Linked DNA regions of Caenorhabditis elegans. The protein of the gene in region 1 interacts with the protein of each later gene in a pairwise test. Each region holds a gene or a part of one and is shown in the gene's direction. Other genes may lie near its edges. The genes, in order: tsct-1, txt-1, fkh-8 and npr-12.

The links.
Region 2: the proteins of tsct-1 (region 1) and txt-1 interact in a two-hybrid assay, tested with the Caenorhabditis elegans proteins (one large-scale study listed by BioGRID).
Region 3: the proteins of tsct-1 (region 1) and fkh-8 interact in a two-hybrid assay, tested with the Caenorhabditis elegans proteins (one large-scale study listed by BioGRID).
Region 4: the proteins of tsct-1 (region 1) and npr-12 interact in a two-hybrid assay, tested with the Caenorhabditis elegans proteins (one large-scale study listed by BioGRID).

What each region holds. Positions count from the first base shown.
Region 1 is NC_003284.9:12,432,133-12,437,120, forward strand, and holds the start of tsct-1 (Protein tsct-1), read left to right. Parts: upstream 1-1,964; 5' UTR 1,965-2,021; coding exon 2,022-2,039; intron 2,040-4,504; exon of another isoform or gene 4,505-4,571; intron 4,572-4,988.
Region 2 is NC_003280.10:104,469-108,015, forward strand, and holds txt-1 (PDZ domain-containing protein), read left to right. Parts: upstream 1-1,720; 5' UTR 1,721-1,789; coding exon 1,790-1,858; intron 1,859-2,062; coding exon 2,063-2,219; intron 2,220-2,267; coding exon 2,268-2,443; intron 2,444-2,913; coding exon 2,914-2,970; 3' UTR 2,971-3,017; downstream 3,018-3,547. Other genes in the region: col-68 (Nematode cuticle collagen N-terminal domain-containing protein), read left to right, coding at 75-153, 199-296, 355-405, 450-930, 974-1,254.
Region 3 is NC_003280.10:6,189,066-6,193,187, reverse strand, and holds fkh-8 (Forkhead box protein pes-1), read left to right. Parts: upstream 1-1,794; 5' UTR 1,795-1,813; coding exon 1,814-1,978; intron 1,979-2,315; coding exon 2,316-2,510; intron 2,511-2,555; coding exon 2,556-2,625; intron 2,626-2,672; coding exon 2,673-2,771; intron 2,772-2,820; coding exon 2,821-2,903; intron 2,904-2,954; coding exon 2,955-3,068; intron 3,069-3,167; coding exon 3,168-3,267; intron 3,268-3,315; coding exon 3,316-3,476; 3' UTR 3,477-3,565; downstream 3,566-4,122. Other genes in the region: cpb-2 (Cytoplasmic polyadenylation element-binding protein 2), read right to left, coding at 1-259.
Region 4 is NC_003282.8:6,934,631-6,939,368, reverse strand, and holds the start of npr-12 (G-protein coupled receptors family 1 profile domain-containing protein), read left to right. Parts: upstream 1-1,720; coding exon 1,721-1,737; intron 1,738-4,308; exon of another isoform or gene 4,309-4,329; intron 4,330-4,738.

The sequences.
Region 1 (4,988 bases):
ATTTGTTGCACAGCCCGTACTTGTTACACTAGTTACTTTTTCTCGAACTTTTGATGTAGCTTAATCATTTTCCCCTTTATTTTTTATGTAAGAGATAGTACTTGTAAAGTGTAAAACGTTATTCAATATATACCAAGAACAATTACACCCATATTCGAAAAAAAATAGTTGGGATTGTGATTTTTCTCTACCTATTTTCAACATTGCCAAATTAATACTTTGATAAATTCTCTAGATATATATATATATATATATAATATATATAGATACATTTGCATGTAGATCATTTTTCTCTGAGCTCCAAGGTTAAATTCCCAATTTGTGCAGGAAGATTTGCCCAAAATACCTGTCGATTCTGTTTTCAGCAAATTTGGAAAATCTGGAAGCATCCAATTGTTTGTTTGCAGCGCAGCCATTGGAATATTTTTATTTTTTAATTTTTTCCAGTCCACTTTTGTTTTGAAATTACAATTTTTGAAGTAATGTAAAAAGTAGAAAATAGCCTTGGGCAAACAAAACTTTGAAACAAAATTTCATTAACGTTTTTGCCCCCTTCCTCCGCCCATTTCCTCTTCTCATCCCATTCGAATTTTACCCCATTGGGAATTTCAATTCTTGTATCAGTTTTGTTCTTTTTTAGTTTTAAGAAAATTGGCATATATTTTTGAAAAAACGTCATTTTGATCTTGCAGAACAGCTCTGTTTTGTTTTGTGTCGGGTGGTACCCTAACACCATCATTCTTTCATTCAACCCATAAAAGCCAGCCGTCACAGAGGAACACATTTGAAAAAAAGGGTTCCGCGTCTTTTTAGCTTTTAACTACCATCTGCTCTCTTCCAAAAAAGGACATTGAGTGCTCATTTAATTTTTCTGCTCATTTGTTGATTGGGTTTTTCTACACTTTGACATTCTTTAAAATTATAATTAAAAATAAAATCTTTAAAAATAAAATAGAAAACAAGACGAAAAACATCCTCATAACTCCCTAAAACTAGTGTTTATCGGATTAGATACACATAGAGACGTTCGAGAAATTCAATTTTTTTATCTCATCGTTTACGTATTTTATGTATTTGCACATGTGCGATGAGCATTATTTATGTTACAACAAACCCGTTTTTCCTCATATTTCATCTTGCCATTCTCATTTATTTTCTTATTTATGATATTTGAAAATAACAGAAATTATTTTTACTCTTAATCAGATGAAATACTTTGCAAATATCATAAATGTTATAATTAAAACAATTGAAATTTTTGTTGCGAATATTTAAAACATACAAAAAAACGAAAAAATAAACATACTTAATGTTCCTAGTGAATATCAAATTTCTCTGTGCGTCCGCAAATGCATCACGTGGTTTTGTTCACAATTTCAATTAAAAAACTTCTTGAACTTTAAAAATATGTGTTCACACATTAATTAATTTTCACAAGATCTGTAACATGGGGCATAATTTTTGTGAATTTACCAATCAATCATTAATATAAGATAGTTTCACGTAAGTTCAACGCAAGTTTAAAAGTGATAAAAAAAATCAAATTTTGCATTCAACTTTGCAAATTTGTTCTCAGGATGAAACTTCTTGAAAATTTCACAAAAGTGTTTTTTCTTTTTCTTTTTAACGGTTGAAAAGTTTAACAAAAAAATACTCAATATAGCAAAATTCTAAAATTTTATCAACTTTACCCTGTTGTAGAAATTGAGATTAAACTAGCGAATTTTTCATAAACGACACAAAATTTCAAAATGAGGTTGTGATTAAATAATAATATTTTTTCCAGTCGCTCCGCGGACAAGTGGCCTAAATTTAAGATTCCTGCGGAACCTCAATTTTTAAAATTTTTTACTCAAATAAAAAGCAGAACCGTTACTCCTTCTTATGGTTTGCGTTTATATCTTCACAACTTTTTTTGCTCTCTATTGTCAATAACGTTGGTTTTACAAGATACAAATAACTTAAAGTTTCAGGGTAGTTACAGCTAAAAGAGACCGCAGCAAGGGATCCTGTCACTGAGAATGTTCATCTTTGCCGCAGTAAGTGTTCATTTTTAAGATAAACCACATGACCTTGTCTCCTTATGATCTGCCTGATCAAACAACCGGCTCTTCGTTGTCAATGACCTCGTGTTTATGTATGTGTTTTGTTTATCTCCAGCACGTTTTCCAAATCTAAACGTTTTTGATGGTTGGTTGAGAAAGAGAAACTCTACGCAATTTTGTTGTCCTTTCGTTTTGCTTCTTCACCGTCGCCAATGTAAAACGCGTGACTGCCGCGAAACAAACTCTAAAATACAGAAATCGTGAGTCAACTGTAATTTTTTCGACGATTTCCTTTCTGATTCAATTCCACATATCGATTTTTAGAATGACACCGATTTGCATGAATTATCCGTACCCCCGTCAGTCTGAACAGCAACTTTTCTTTTTAACTTTTTGATTTCTGTTGTTTAATCAAGTGCTTTTTGCGTTCATAAAATATAAGAATAAACAATAACTAAAATTAGAATTTCTTATTTTTACGTATTTTTCCTTCAACAGCATATCAATTTAATTTGAAAATAATTTGTCTTGTTCAATGTTAGGAATTTCGCAAACGTTTAGTTGCCATATGTACAAAGATATGTATAAAGAATGTGGAACATTTTCTTTCAAAAATTGAAAATAATTTATTCTAGTAACATTTTTGAACACATAAATTTCAAGTATAATCTTGAAATTTTTTCATGTCGTTAAAAAATCAAATGCAACGTAATTTGAAACACCTACATTGTGAGACTTTTGCAGAAAACAAAGTTAAAGGTCAATGAGACCCTCCGAATACGAGTGCCAAAAGTATTCAATTAAATTTCCAGTTTTTACGCGATGAAAAACACCAATCAACAATGAGCCAAAAGTGTGGTGTGCTGCTCTTTTCCAAGCGTAACATTTAAATTGAACTTCTGTTTGAAAAATGAGGAGAGCATATAGAGCCAAATGATACAAAACCACTCTCATGATATTAGAATTTCCGACTCCTACCCCGACCCGACCGACCCAAAAAATGGGGCGACCCACTCCACAGGCCTAGTCTTACATCCCTACGGACCAATTGAAAATTAGTCTTGCATGCAAGAATAATAGAGAAAGCTTCAAAGCTAATTTGTTCAAAAACAATTTCCTTTTTGGATCTTCTCCGCCTTCAAACTCCAGTTCAGAATGTTATGTGTCCAATTTTCTTTTGCACGTTCGCTCAAGAGTACACATGACAACTACATATTATCTTTTTTATCAGTTCGTCATTTGATTTGATCGCTATTCATGTGCCCTTTTCATATTTACTCTTCGCAACTCTTTTGTGAGCACCATTGTTGCAACCACAACTTGCATAATTACTACAGAATCGAAGTTTCAAAAAAAGATTGCATTCTATCTCGCGCTCCCATGCGCTTTTTTCGTTTTATTTGCGATTGAAAAATAGCTTTCCTGCTTTGCGGGCTATGCAGAGCAGTAGTTTTCAATGGTTTTGTCTGGGCACACAGAGAAGCGTACAGTGTGATTGAAAAAGTGGGGTAGCAGCCAGTATAGAGCAAGAGAAATGTACAGCATTCAATTTTTCATTCGTTTTCTATTTTGCTCTTATAAACTGTGACATTTCTAGTGACTGAAAACGAGAAATCGCAGTGTCTTGTTTAAAACTCCCTCAAAATCTTTCTCTCTGAAATAATAATTCAGAAGAATTATATATTTTTCTTTTTGACAATGACTTCAAATATAATCTCAGAAATCTTACAATTCACTGGAATGTCACAGTCATAATCTCGTATTATTTGTATCTGAAATAGACGTTATTGCGCCATGTCTAGGTGGCTTTGTTAGAGAAAATACGCGTTTTTCTTAGCTCATCTATTTTTTTTTCTTCTTGCAAAAAGCTGACTTCTTGTTGCATATTCATTGAACGTTAGCTTTTTTGGCAAAGGTTTATGTAGGATTATTTGTAAGACTTGAGTTTTAAGCTCTAAGAATTTGAAAAAAGGTATGAAAAGCTACCAAGTTTTTCATTTTTCTAGTTACGAAAATTGGCTTTCTCTTTTTTTCCTTCCAAACTAGTAGAAAAAGCACTGCCATTGAAATTAAAAAAAACAGTTTTCAACAATTTTTCACAAAGCGGAAAACTTGAAAAATAAATGCTTTTTTAAGTTAAGAAAATATGTCGTCACAAAAGTTCTTGCAGATTTTGCACTGTGCTTTCATAAAGTTATTGGGCTTTCTTGAACTGTTGTTAGTTGTCCTTGATGTACTTCAAACTTTCATAAATTCCTTTTCCAATTACAGCGTTCTCAAACTATTAAAAAAATATGATTCAATAACTGTCTGCACCATTTAGAGAGAGAGAGAAACTAAGCGTTCCTTTCTTTCCTGAAAAAAAAACAAAGTCTCATGGGTTTACTCAGATGACAAAGTAACACAAAAAAACAGAAAAAAAACTCCAAAGTTTCCGTGCCAAAAGTTGCGCCGTCGTGTCTATTTACTTGACACACTTGCCATCACACTTGAGCAAGTACAGCTGTTCCTCAGCACCGCGAGCACTTTTTCGAGAAAATTGAAATTACGTGTCAATTCATGTCTCCCACAGCAGTTCATCAATCATTTGCTGCATGTTGCGACCAATTTATCTTTTCGTTTTTTGTTCAAATTTGAAACAGAAATTTCGAATAAGGGTTCTTGAGTGTAATCAGTCAACGATTGTGATTTTTAATGCGATAAAAAATCCAGCATATTTTTTGAAACTTATCTTTGCCATTTTTCTTCAAAACAATTTTTAATTTGCTCACCTAACCAAATTAAAGGCGAAAGATGTTTTTTTTAATATAAAAATGTCGTACGTTTTGTTTCCCAAAATACATTAATTCAAATCTATTTTGGTCAAATCGTTGTAACTTTTGTTCATATCTGTCTTGTCCACGGCGCAAAAATGTTATCAAATTTTGCTAATTAGTCATCAAC
Region 2 (3,547 bases), on another chromosome or scaffold:
AATTGTTCGTCGTCAATTTCTCAATTTCTTCGCCACTCTTGAAACTTGAAACTTTTCCCGATTCCAGAAGAACTATGGCTTCTGAATCGTCGCACGATGATCCAAAGTATGAAGCACAGGAAGCTGATGCAATGCGGAAGTTGGCGTTTTTCGGTGAGTTTACTCCATAGTAACAAAATGAATGCCTGAACTTTTAAGGAATTGCCATATCCACTGTTGCTACATTAACTGCAATAATGGCAGTCCCCATGCTCTACAATTACATGCAACACGTTCAATCTGCATTGCAATCTGAAGTATGTACTTGTTATTCTGAATTCGTGTTGTTATTATTATAATTTCTTTTTTTTAAAGGTAGATTTCTGTCGACACAGAACAAATGGATTGTGGGACGAGTACAATAAAGTAAGAGTTTTTTTTCGGATCAAAAGGAATTTTCTTTTATTCAGTTTGAATCTGTTGCGGGCGTCCGTAGACGCATCAAACGCGCGACATATCAAAAATCAAATGGAGTCACCGGACGTCTTGCTCATCGTCGTCGGGCAGTTGCTCGTGGCGCATCTAGCTACGATGGCGGATTTAATGAAGAAGTTCCAGTTGGAGGTGGTGGTGGTGGAGGAGCATGCTGCTCTTGTGGAGTTGGCCCACCTGGTCCATCAGGAGCTCCAGGAACAGACGGGAATCCTGGAAATGATGGGTCTCCAGGAAATCCTGGAACACCCGGACAAGATGCAGTAGGAGACGAATCCCCGACTGCTGCAGATTTCTGTTTCGACTGCCCAACAGGACCACCGGGACCACCTGGAAAGCAAGGACCTAAAGGACCAAATGGAGAACCAGGCGCTCCAGGAACTCCAGGAGGAAATGCACTTCCAGGACCACCAGGTCCCCCTGGACCTCAAGGTCCACCGGGAGCCGATGGATTACCAGGTACATTAGCATATTTGAAAAAATCTAACGAAAAACGTTTCAGGTAACCCCGGGGCTCCAGGTGTTCCAGGCCAAGTTATCGAAGTACCAGGTACTCCAGGGCCAGCTGGTCCACCAGGTCCTCCAGGCCCAATCGGCCCACCAGGACAGCCAGGAGCTCCAGGAAGTTCCCAACCAGGACCACAAGGGCCACCAGGAGACCCAGGAATTGATGGAGCTCCAGGAAATCCTGGATCTCCAGGAGAGCCTGGACCACCAGGACAACCAGGAGCTGGTGGTGGATGCGATCATTGTCCTCCACCAAGAACTGCTCCAGGATATTAATTTTCTGAACTTTAAGCCGACTGTATTGTCTTTCATAGCCCTATTTCTGTTCAACCGGTAGATTTATTCGATAAATCACAATTTTTTAATCATAATGAAAATTTATTCACGAAAATGATCACGTACTTGATCTCAAACTTGAGTTTCAGGTACTCCATGTGTAAAGTCATTTCATCAGTTTCAGTGGGTCTAGGTTTAGAGAAATATTGGTTTTATCAAAAAATTTTGACACAGTCACGTTTGGTGAATTTTCTAATTCAAAAGACAACTTTATTTTACTACCGGACCCAATCATACTCCATTATAAAATTACATACTCTTTATTAAAGTTCTCCACAAATTAAATCAAAATTTTGAGTGTTTAAAAAGCAAAAACTAATAAAAAATAAATAGAAAACCACGTCCAGTTTTTTAATAGATCACGCCACCACGTCACTGAAGTCTACATTTTCCGTAAAGAGCTTTCAATAAAATCATTTCAAAAATCAGAACAAGTAACGTGGTTCCTTCAACTCTTTCTCTTATTTTCAAAAAAATGAGCACTACAGGATCTGCACCGCCCAATTCAAAACTTAAATCAGTTGAGGACACGGATGATGATAGGGTGAGTAGACAGGGGTGGGTGGCAATTGCCGGTCGACAAAATTTTTGTCGGCACATTGCCGGTTTTTTGCCGATCTGCTAGAAATTTCCATTTCCGGTAATGTGCCAGTTGCCCGAAATTTTCATTAAAATTTTCATTTTGACATTGCCGATTGCCGCGCACCCCTGAGTATTAATGCTCTTCACATAAACATGGCTACTTCAGACTCTCGCTGAAGACGATCAAAACGATCAAAACTCTGGGAGTATGGATCACCGATTTGAGAGAATCAAGGTGACACTGATGATGACTCAGGGCAAGAAGTTCGGACTTGGAATAGTATCTGTTCATCAACGTATACTGGTCTGCAAAGTGGAAAATGGTTAGCGAATACTTTTATAGACTCTTTTCTAATTGGTAGACATTTCAGAATCTCTAGTAGCCGGGGTTCTCAAGTACGGAGATCAGATTATCGAGATTAACAAGAAAAACGTCTTAAACAAAATTGATTGTAAGAAGCGGTTGATGCAATGCCTCAAGGATAAAGGACAAGTTGATATTATCATTGTGCGCCCAAAGACTGCAGATGCTGTTACCATGATTGAAGTGAGATTGTGAATTTAACACAGGGGTGGGCAACAATTGCCGATTTGCCTGAAATTTTCAATTCCGGCAACTGACCGGTTGCCAATTTGCCAGAAATTTTAAATTCCGGCAATTTGCCGGTTTGCCGCCCACCCCTGATTTAACTTGACTGATTTTCGGCAGGAACACTTAAAACTGTGCCTTTTTGAAACGTTTTTTTCTTTTTTCTTTTATGTTCTCATAGAATTTGCTTACTTTTCAAAATAGATGTAGGAACATTCTTAGGATGTGTAAAACGTAGCCGAGCGTAGCCGATTCCGATTGAAATTGAAATTTTGAAATTTCCAAAAAAATTGCTGTTTTTCCGGCAAATTTGCCGGAAATTTTCAATTCTGGCAATTTGTCAATTTGCCGAAAATCTCAATTTCGGCAAAATTGTTTGCCGTCCACCCCTGATTTAACATGATTGATTTTTTAAAATTATTTTTCAGCAAGAAATTCAACTCTCGCAACAACCGAGCACTACTGCACAGCCAAAGATCAATTGAACTTGTATAATGAATAAAAAGTATAAGTACAGAATTAAAATTGAACTTTGGCCCCATTCCAGCAATAAATGTTTTGTAACAAATAATAATCCCCAGTCACAAAAATAAATAAGTTTTCCCCTTCCCCCCACTTTCACTTCTCTGGCTTTTCTTTTTCTGTTTCCGTTTCTCATCTAGAATTCCAAATTCCACGACATATTGTTTCTGTTGCCTAAAAAATGTGTATTGGTTTAGTGGTTAGTTTAATTTAATCAAGAATGGCGCCATAACATTCAAATCTTAAGCTGCAGCCAACAACAAAATGCATTGATGAGATTTAATCAAATTTCTCTGCTCTTATTTTTGTAGTTCTCATTCTTTAAAAAAATATTTTTAGCAACTTCACACACTTCAATTTCATGTGTTTTATAATATCACCCAATCCATTAATGCAGCTAAATATGGAGAAAGCGCTCGGCTTTTCTGCCTTGCCTGGCTGAAGCCTCAGGCGGCAATTAATGGAGCTCTGAGAGCAATAGAGAGATGAAAAAGTTAAAGCGGGCGTAAGAGACGCAGATGGATGGGAAACTGAACCATC
Region 3 (4,122 bases), on another chromosome or scaffold:
ATGGAGTGCTGGAATTCCAGTCCTGTCTTTCACGAAACATATCATTGGATTTGGCATTTTGCTGTTCCAATTCTTGAGTGACCAAGTTATTTTGTTTGAAAAAATGTTCATCTAGCACATCATCTTTTGCAGTGTCCATCATACCACGACATTTACGACGATTCATCTTCGACAGCTTGTGTTCTTCAAATCTATCACCATTACCCCAGAAGTCATCATCTCCTTGCATTGAGAGAAACACGCGCCTTGATTTTGACATCTGAAGTGATTTTGGTTCCACGTTGTCATGTTCTAGAAACTTCGCTCACCTTCGAAATTCGCGTAGGCAATCGATACAAAATATTATTCAGAAATAATCAAAACTCCGGTTGTTCATCTGATGAGACGTTTCACGCGGATGGCATTTTATTTTCATGTCCCAATGCCCTCAATTCATTTATTTCATTTTAATCACGTTTTTTGTTCAGAATGGAATCACATCTCTAAAATTTGAATTACAATTGAAATCATTTTTTTAATCAGCTGTAATCTCTGCAACAATATTTTTTAATTACCCCGTAGAGTGCAAGAATCAAGATTAATATAGGAAATACGGTATTTATGTTTTCCTTACGGGCTATAGATTTGTAATCTAAACGCTCTAAAACTACATACAGTTATTCAGCAGCACAAAAATCTAAAAATGTTTTCCAATTTCGATTTATGTCATATATTTGAAATCAATGATCAAATGAATATAAGTGAGTTTCAGAATGATATAATACATTGAATGTATTCTTTCTCGTGTTTTGCACCTTTTCTTTCTATTTTCTCACACAATCAGCCGCCGTCTTGTTTCACTTCTGACCAGAAATTATCGCCTCGCGCGTATTTTCAAAAGGGTTCTGACGCATTCTCCCCTAGCAGTTGTCTATAACTTCCCAAATTTAGATTTATATTCTCAGAAGTGATGTTTTTTCAGGCCCGGCAGTATGAAATAAAAACAACGAGTTGATGGTATAGTATACTCATTATTTATTTTTTCGAGTAAGTCAAACTGAATACAATATTCTAAAATAAACTTTAGTTATTTAAAGATGACTATGTCAGGTGCAATCGAGTTCCACCAAAAATCAGCTCACTTTTGTTGTAAAATTAATAGACTGAACATGCGTTTTTTTCTTAGAATAGAAAACCATACGTGTCCATTTTTAAATATCATGATTTTGTTTTGGCAAATTTTGAATATAAATCACTTTAAGAAATTGTTCAAAGTTATTCAACGAGTCATAAAATCACAGAAACTTGTGCTACAGTAACCCAACTACTACGGCTCCCATGCTAATGAATGTTGTTTTACAAAAATATCATATCTGAATAAGAATACCTGGAAAAACCTGAATACGTTTTGTGTTCGTTCTCAACACCCCAAAAATAAGAATTTTTTCCAAGACTTGTTTCGTTTGAATCACTCTGTCGTGGATCTCGTTGAGGTTTCGATGTTTGCTCTTTTACTTACTTTTATTTCTTTTTTATTTGTTGTCTTGTTGGTCCCACCTTCTCCTTATTCTATGACTCATTCATGCACAGACTAACATTCGCTCCTCTTTTTCCCTGAAGCCGTTCAGTCTGTTGGTTGCCCCAACGACGCCGCCTGCTCTGCATCGATTTTCGTGTCACCTGCTTGCTGCATTCCTCGCTTCTCTTCTTTTCCTCTTCATTCCATTTTCACAAACCTCATGCATTTCCAATCTCAATTATTCCTCCATTCATCCACCGATTCTCCTCTTTTTTAAGATCCACAGTTTTAATTTCAGAAGGTCAATCACTTGTGATGTCAGATCTAAGCTCAAGCTTGTGCCAATTGAACTGGCTCATTGCCAAAGGTGGACTGAACACAGTACAAGAAATCGAAGTACCTGAAAACCCTAATATTGTTGGATCTGTGAATGTTTCGCCACTGGTCCTATCTCCTACAGTACCTGCAGAAACGTCAAAGGCAATTTTAATAAATATTTGAAATGTCATAGAAAATCAGAGAACTCTTTCAATTATGCTCTGAATGTTTTGTTGCAAATCTACTCATATTTTTAGAATTAATAATTTTAATTTAGTTGCAAACATCACTTACATATATTTTTCGAATACATAATCTAAATGACCTGGCCTTTTTCGTCCTTCCTTGAAATTAAATTACGCCGGTAATTTCATACAATTCAATTTCGGTGAGGGTGGCACCTGCAGCGTCATAACTCGAATTAGATTTATGTGGCTGAGGTCAACATCTGGTTTTTAGAAAGATCTATTGCTCTTTTATAATTGCTTTCTAATTTCAGCCAGTGGCTCCTGCACACGAAGGAAAACGGAGGAGAATTTTTGATGGAGCGGATAAGCCACCATATTCATACTCTCAACTTATTCGTCTAGCTATCGAAGATACTCCCGATAAAAAATGTACTCTTGCTGAAATCTACTCTTTCATTGCTCACAACTTTCAATTCTATCGTGAAAACCGGAATTCAAGTTGGAAGGTAATCCTTATTCCGGATATTGGAATTCTACGTTTGAAATTGCAGAATTCCATTCGCCATAATCTGTCATTAAATAAACAATTCAGCCGCATTGAGAAGACTGATGGAGATAGAAGTGAGATAATTATTTAATGATTAATTTAATTGAATTCATTTTTACAGGAGGATGGTGGGTTTGTGTAGATCCGCCAGCCAAGAAACCACGAATTCTCAAAGGATCCCCAGTGCGAGTAAATCCAATTTACGAGCATCTATATCATAGTAATACATAAGATTATAACTGATCAACAATATCAATAATTGTTTTCAGATAAACAAGACATGCCAAATTTCACTCCTCCGCCAGAAGATCCATTCCTGTCAGAAATTAATGGAAATGTACATGAACTTACGGTATCTTATCAAACATTCCCTCATGCAAGCTTAATTTTATTTCATTCACAGGAACACGAAATAAGAGATTTGAATTTGTTCGAGTCATATGATCTAAACTCATCATTCCGTGATGTCTACAATCAAATTTTTGAGAAGTCCACTTCCCCCAATGGGAAGAAGCAAGTAAGTGAAAAAAAAGTTCAGTTCTGAGAAGCAAAATTCTAGAGATCTTGTGTGTTGGAAATTCAATAATTAATTCTTAAAGTATATTATTAACTTCAGGCTGCTCAAATCGATTGGTTGAAAATAAGCTTAGAAGCTGCTGGACTTGATTATCACGATGAACAAGAACTTCAAGAAGTTGATACGGATAAGTTGAAAGGTTAAAATGAAAAGAAACTATTTTTAAACTTAATTTCCAAAAATTTAGATTACGTCTACAATGGATTCCCAGCAGAATGCGACAGTGATGTCTCAACTCCAAGAACAGACTCTGGCCGTCATTCATCCTCAGATTCTGTTCTTTCAGCCACTCTTCAACCAGTTAACAATGATTCAGATGATGAGTATGACTGGGATAAATTGCTATAAATTGTTAATCTAAAGGTTCAAAAACTCACATATTTTTCACACAGTGTCCAAATTTCATTTGTACAAAAATACATTGTTAGTTAGTTTTCATTTTCATATTCATTTTTCGTAAACATTCAATGAATTGTTTACTGATACTATACGCCAAGTTTATGCATGTAGCCACGCCTGTACTTTCCAAAAAAAAATCTGGTAATGGCATTCGATTTCAAATTCGAAAAAAAAAACCTATGTGTCCAAATTTTCATGAGCGATCTAGCCACTTTTTGACTACAGATGTGCACCAACTTTTTTGGTTGAGTACTCATGAGTTGATACAGCAATTAATTATTCAGTCTAACCCCGTTAACCTCCGTCACGTAAATTCAATAAGTGGCAGGAATCCCAATGTCAAAAACGTCATAAAGATTGGAGATGGCGAAATTGAAGACGTACCAAGTATGCTAGTAGACAATTGATACATAAACATACTTGGTACATATTTAAAGATACAGTTTCTTTGACAATACGCGATAACATCTGGAGATGAACTGGAGATGCCATCGTGGAAGCACAAAACAACATGCACAAAAGAGAGAGGCCAACATAGCGATGCTGGAAAAATTAGGGATACAAGTCTGTTTGTTGTCTGCGTCTCTCCACACGT
Region 4 (4,738 bases), on another chromosome or scaffold:
CTTAAAATGTTCGCGGTGATCATATTACAAATTTGTTCTTGATCAAGAATATCTCATTTTGTTTGAGAATCTACTGTGCAATTCCTGTTTATAACATTTTATTATTATTGTTAATTGAATTTAAAATCGTCCTCTATTTTTTTTCAATTTGAAAACACTAATTGCCAAGCCTGAAAATATAATTTAGTTTGGTTCCGAAGATGAACAGCTTATTATTTTCAAAGAACGCATGTTTGAGATTTAAGATTCAGAGTTGCCAAAATACTTTGAAATTCTATTCAAACTTCTTTTATTTACAAATTTGCAACGAATAACGGAGTGCTGAAATGAACCTCTTCTAGCCCATCGATAGTTTTGTATTCACTTTTAAAGCTGAGAAAATAAAAAAATGTACTGTTTCATCTTATTTTTATAAACACAAAAATATTTATCGAACAATGTTGATTTGATTTTGTGTCCTGAATCTCCTCAACTCATCAAAACCTCATAATTCGTATTTTCCCATTGGTCATCTAAATCCATTATTTTTTTCCAAAATCTCGTGTTCCGGCTTCACTTTTTTTCGATAGCTTTAGTGGAAAAGATTTTAACGACTGGTGCTCATTGCAAACGATGTGAACCCAGTAATTACATTAGAACCCATCGTCCGCCCACCAAAAAGCAATGAGACGTTACTCAATTTGTTCAGAAATGGACCTTCTTAGAAGTAATTCTTTGAATACTTCTTGCAATATTCTGCAAAAATAAACTTTCTGAAACTAGGTGAGAAATAAAAAATTTTCTTGATTTGTTGTGAGTTCTTAAGAATGCTAGAAATTACATAAAACTATAATTGTTTTGTTGGGAAAGTTTAAGATGCCTGACAGTTTTCTTGGAATTTTTTTTCTAAAACAATCAACTAATTTCCATCATTAAATATTTGAATTTCAAACTTTTTTCAATAAAAAAAGATTGAAACTTCTACAACTATTTTGATGTTTTTGATTGAATAAAGCTGGAGTACCGCCCGTGAGGATTCGTTTTAAAAATATTTATAATACTCCAAAATTACCAAATAATTACCTTTTTTTGTAATTTTCCAACATTATAATAGGACAACTGAGTTTCACCACTTTTTGGCTATAGTTTAAAGAATTTAAATAATTCTCTAATTTTAAAACTATGATATTCGAACGTTTCAGGACAAAAAAAATAAAGGAAAATATTGAACCCTTTTTCTTGCTAACTCACCTGGCAGTGACTATTTCCAGCAAAGAAAAAACATCTTTAAAAGTCGTATTACTTGTAAAAACAAATGTGCCGAAAGGTGTATTTATTATGCAACGACATTTTCCTTCTTCCTCTAGTATATATCCACGATTCTTTCCTCATTCCACTACTATATTCATTCCGGAGCTGTTTCCACGAGTCTCTTGACATTTTTTTTCACATTCATTGTCTACTTAATTCTTTTACGACTTTTGCGCTGTTCTATGTTTTTTTGGAACACGTTATTGAATTTGGCAGAAAAAATTAGTCACCTTTTAAGCGGCTTGATATGTTGTTACAAAAAACTTTCAATCACATTTTTCAATCTGTACACTTTTTGTACTCCCTTATCTCTATACTACTTGTATTTACCACTCTTTAAAAACTGATCTTAATTGTTTTTACAGGTAAACACCATCTGGAATCTTTCTAAAAAGAATCTGTAGGCCGATTTTATAGCAACATCACTATAATGACAGTTCACAAAACGTAAGTTGTTTTTAAATGTTTCTGACAGAAAGTTTCAGACAGTAGCATAAACTAAAATAAAACTGTTTCAAATTGTGTACAAATCAAAGGAACGTTGCAGAACAACGATGCTGTTTTTGTTTCAACTTTAAGACGTAACTTTAGATACATGAACATTTAGTGGTCTTCTTCTTTTTTGGTCAAAAAGTGTTCTTTACTTCCTTTCCTGCAAATTGCAAAAAAGAATCGAAAACACAAAAACCAGAATGGTCCTCCACAATTTTGAATAATATATGGCTCACGAACCCTGTCATCCCAGGAATATTTTCATGGTTTCATGGAATTGTTCGTATTTTTCTTGATGATGTGGGTACCAATTCTTCTTAAAAACGTTCAAGTGGGCCATGCTTCATTAATATTTTTGTATTTAAGCTTTCTAAGAAACATCTTCCAAATGTTATCTTGATTTTTTACAAACACCGACATTCGATTTTCAATACATTTTTCTGATCATTTATGCAAATCTGATTTGTTTTTTCCTTTTCTTTTCCTTATTTCAACATTTTTATCATGCCTACTTCATCTTTTTCCCATTCCCATTGCACAAGATTTTCCTCACTATGTTTCTTCAATAGCTTTTCATTATTCCGTGCTTCAACAAAAAATTTATGCGAATTTTAAAATTGAATTCGTACAAACAGGATGTTGGCATCTAGACGAAATGTCGACTGACATTCACAAATGGTTTGACATTTTTGAAATTAATTTTTGTACAGAAAAGTAATTTCCAAAGAATCTAGGATACGGTTGGCATATCGAAATTCCAGTTCCTTATGGGTTTTTTTTCGTAGAAATTTCGAGCGTATAAATACCAGATTTTTCGAAGGCTTTGAGATTTTAGTTTTCATCATCTTGCTGTCAAACTGTACCTAATCGTTTGAATTTAAAGTTGAAAGCTTGATTGAAACCTGTAAATTTTTACTGTACCGAGATCAGAGTGATAACTTTGCGATAACATCACACAGTTGTACCATCAAGCGGACAATATTTCGCCAATTTGGAAATCTCGCAATCAATAGATATTTGATTGGGACCAGATCATTTAGTTAGTTTATTCTTAGGTATTTGAAGCTCAACTTATTCACAAAATGTTTTGCTAAATTTCCAAGAGTCCACCTACAATTTAATAGTCTTATTTGGCATTTCCGTATGCCCACCCACCTCCATTTACTTACTCTATTCTTGTCCATTTCCTGTGTATTCTATGTTTTGAAACACACTCAAATTCACCTTACCCATTCAATTTTACAAATTCCTAACCTCGAAGGAGGTACTTCATTGAGAAGAGCTAATCGACTCCTATTCTTCGTTTCTTCTTCTTTTTTTACATTTTGTTTCAAAAGAGTGCTGTGACGATAAGAATTTATTTTATATCAGGTCATCATTTTCTGTGAGCAAACTAGATATTTTAAGTGAAAAATTATAGTTTAAAAAAAAAATTAGTAACATTTTCAGACGTATACGTACTACTTGACTGTCTCATGATTGCCTACTGAATGTTTCCTCATATGTTAGCGTGGGCTCCAGCTTTTGATTTTTGTGCCTTACGCATTTTTGTAATCTCAGTTCATGCAACACATTTTCAAGAAGTTTGACAAATAGGCATTTTTGGTCGCGGAAGAGTTAAATAATATCACTCTAGAAATGTAGCTTTTATATTCCCAATTGGCGTCAATAAATTATTCATTTTTCATAATTTCTGATTATTATTCAAATGTTTTTAAGTACCAGGGTGTACCAAGCATCTCTAATTAGTTACCATGACAAATTGATCCCCATAGTTTGAAGCTTATACCAATAGTATTAATCTTCTCAATTTTTGAAGACTCTTTTAATATTTAATTCATTTCTCTTCGCCTCTTCCTACATTTTCTATTTTTATTCTTGACTTCCTGCTCTTCGCGGACCTTTTGAGAGCATTTTGTCGTAAAATTAAATAAAAATTGAAGGGGGAATGAGCAGGAAGAGAAATTGCAATTTGCTCTTCACCTTTGAGTATAAAAAAGAAAGAAAAAAAGAGCACACAATAAAATATATTTCAATTTCAATTTACCTTCCAATCAATTCTTATCTGGATTTCATTGTTCTTTTTTGGTTTTTAGTCTCTTCATCAAACCCCGCTGGGATTTTTTAGGGTAATGGAGTCTGAAAAAGAGGAATTGAATAAAAGAAGCAACGAAAGATTTAGAATCATAGATTACGAATCAAATGGAACACGAGATTTCTTGCTGAAGTTAGCAAATAACAACCACTAATCGTCAATTTTTGTCACTTTTACAAAGAATTTTTTGGAAGATTTTTGGAATGATGCTTATCAAGAGCATCATCCTAATTGTAGACCTTCACATTAGAAAAATCAAAGTTAATGCGCAAGTTCATCTCAAGCGAACAGTAATCACAAACTCCAAGAGCCCCGTTTTTGGTCAATTGTTTTTTATTTGATCTGTGCCAAGAATATATTAATTTTTCTTTTTTTTTCAATTTTAATCATGTATTTCATTATAATTTCTCATAACAAATTCGTGGGGGTATGAAGCCCTAATTTGTTCCTCATCTTGAAGCATCATCCACCTCCATTTTAATGTGTTTTTTGGAACAGCTTATTTTTTATTCGGCACATAAAAATATTTTTTAGGAGGCTTGTACAGAAATTTAAAAAAATTCTAATTTTTAGGATTAAGCATTAAGTTTATCTTCTTATCCTGTTACATTTATCATAAACTTCGCCGAGTGTCACAATTTTTTTTGTGAAGTATATTTTTGTCGGATAAAAATTTCTCAAAAGCAAATTATTTGCTCTAATATATTTTTAATATACTTCCCATTGTATGATTCTAGTTTCAAGCTCATCTACTAGTCATCCGACACTTGTTTTTCAACAAGAAAAAAAACAACAAAAAAATTGGAGAAACCTTGGACCCATCGTCTCCGTTTCCCCCGACGTCGCTACTTTTCTATTCTT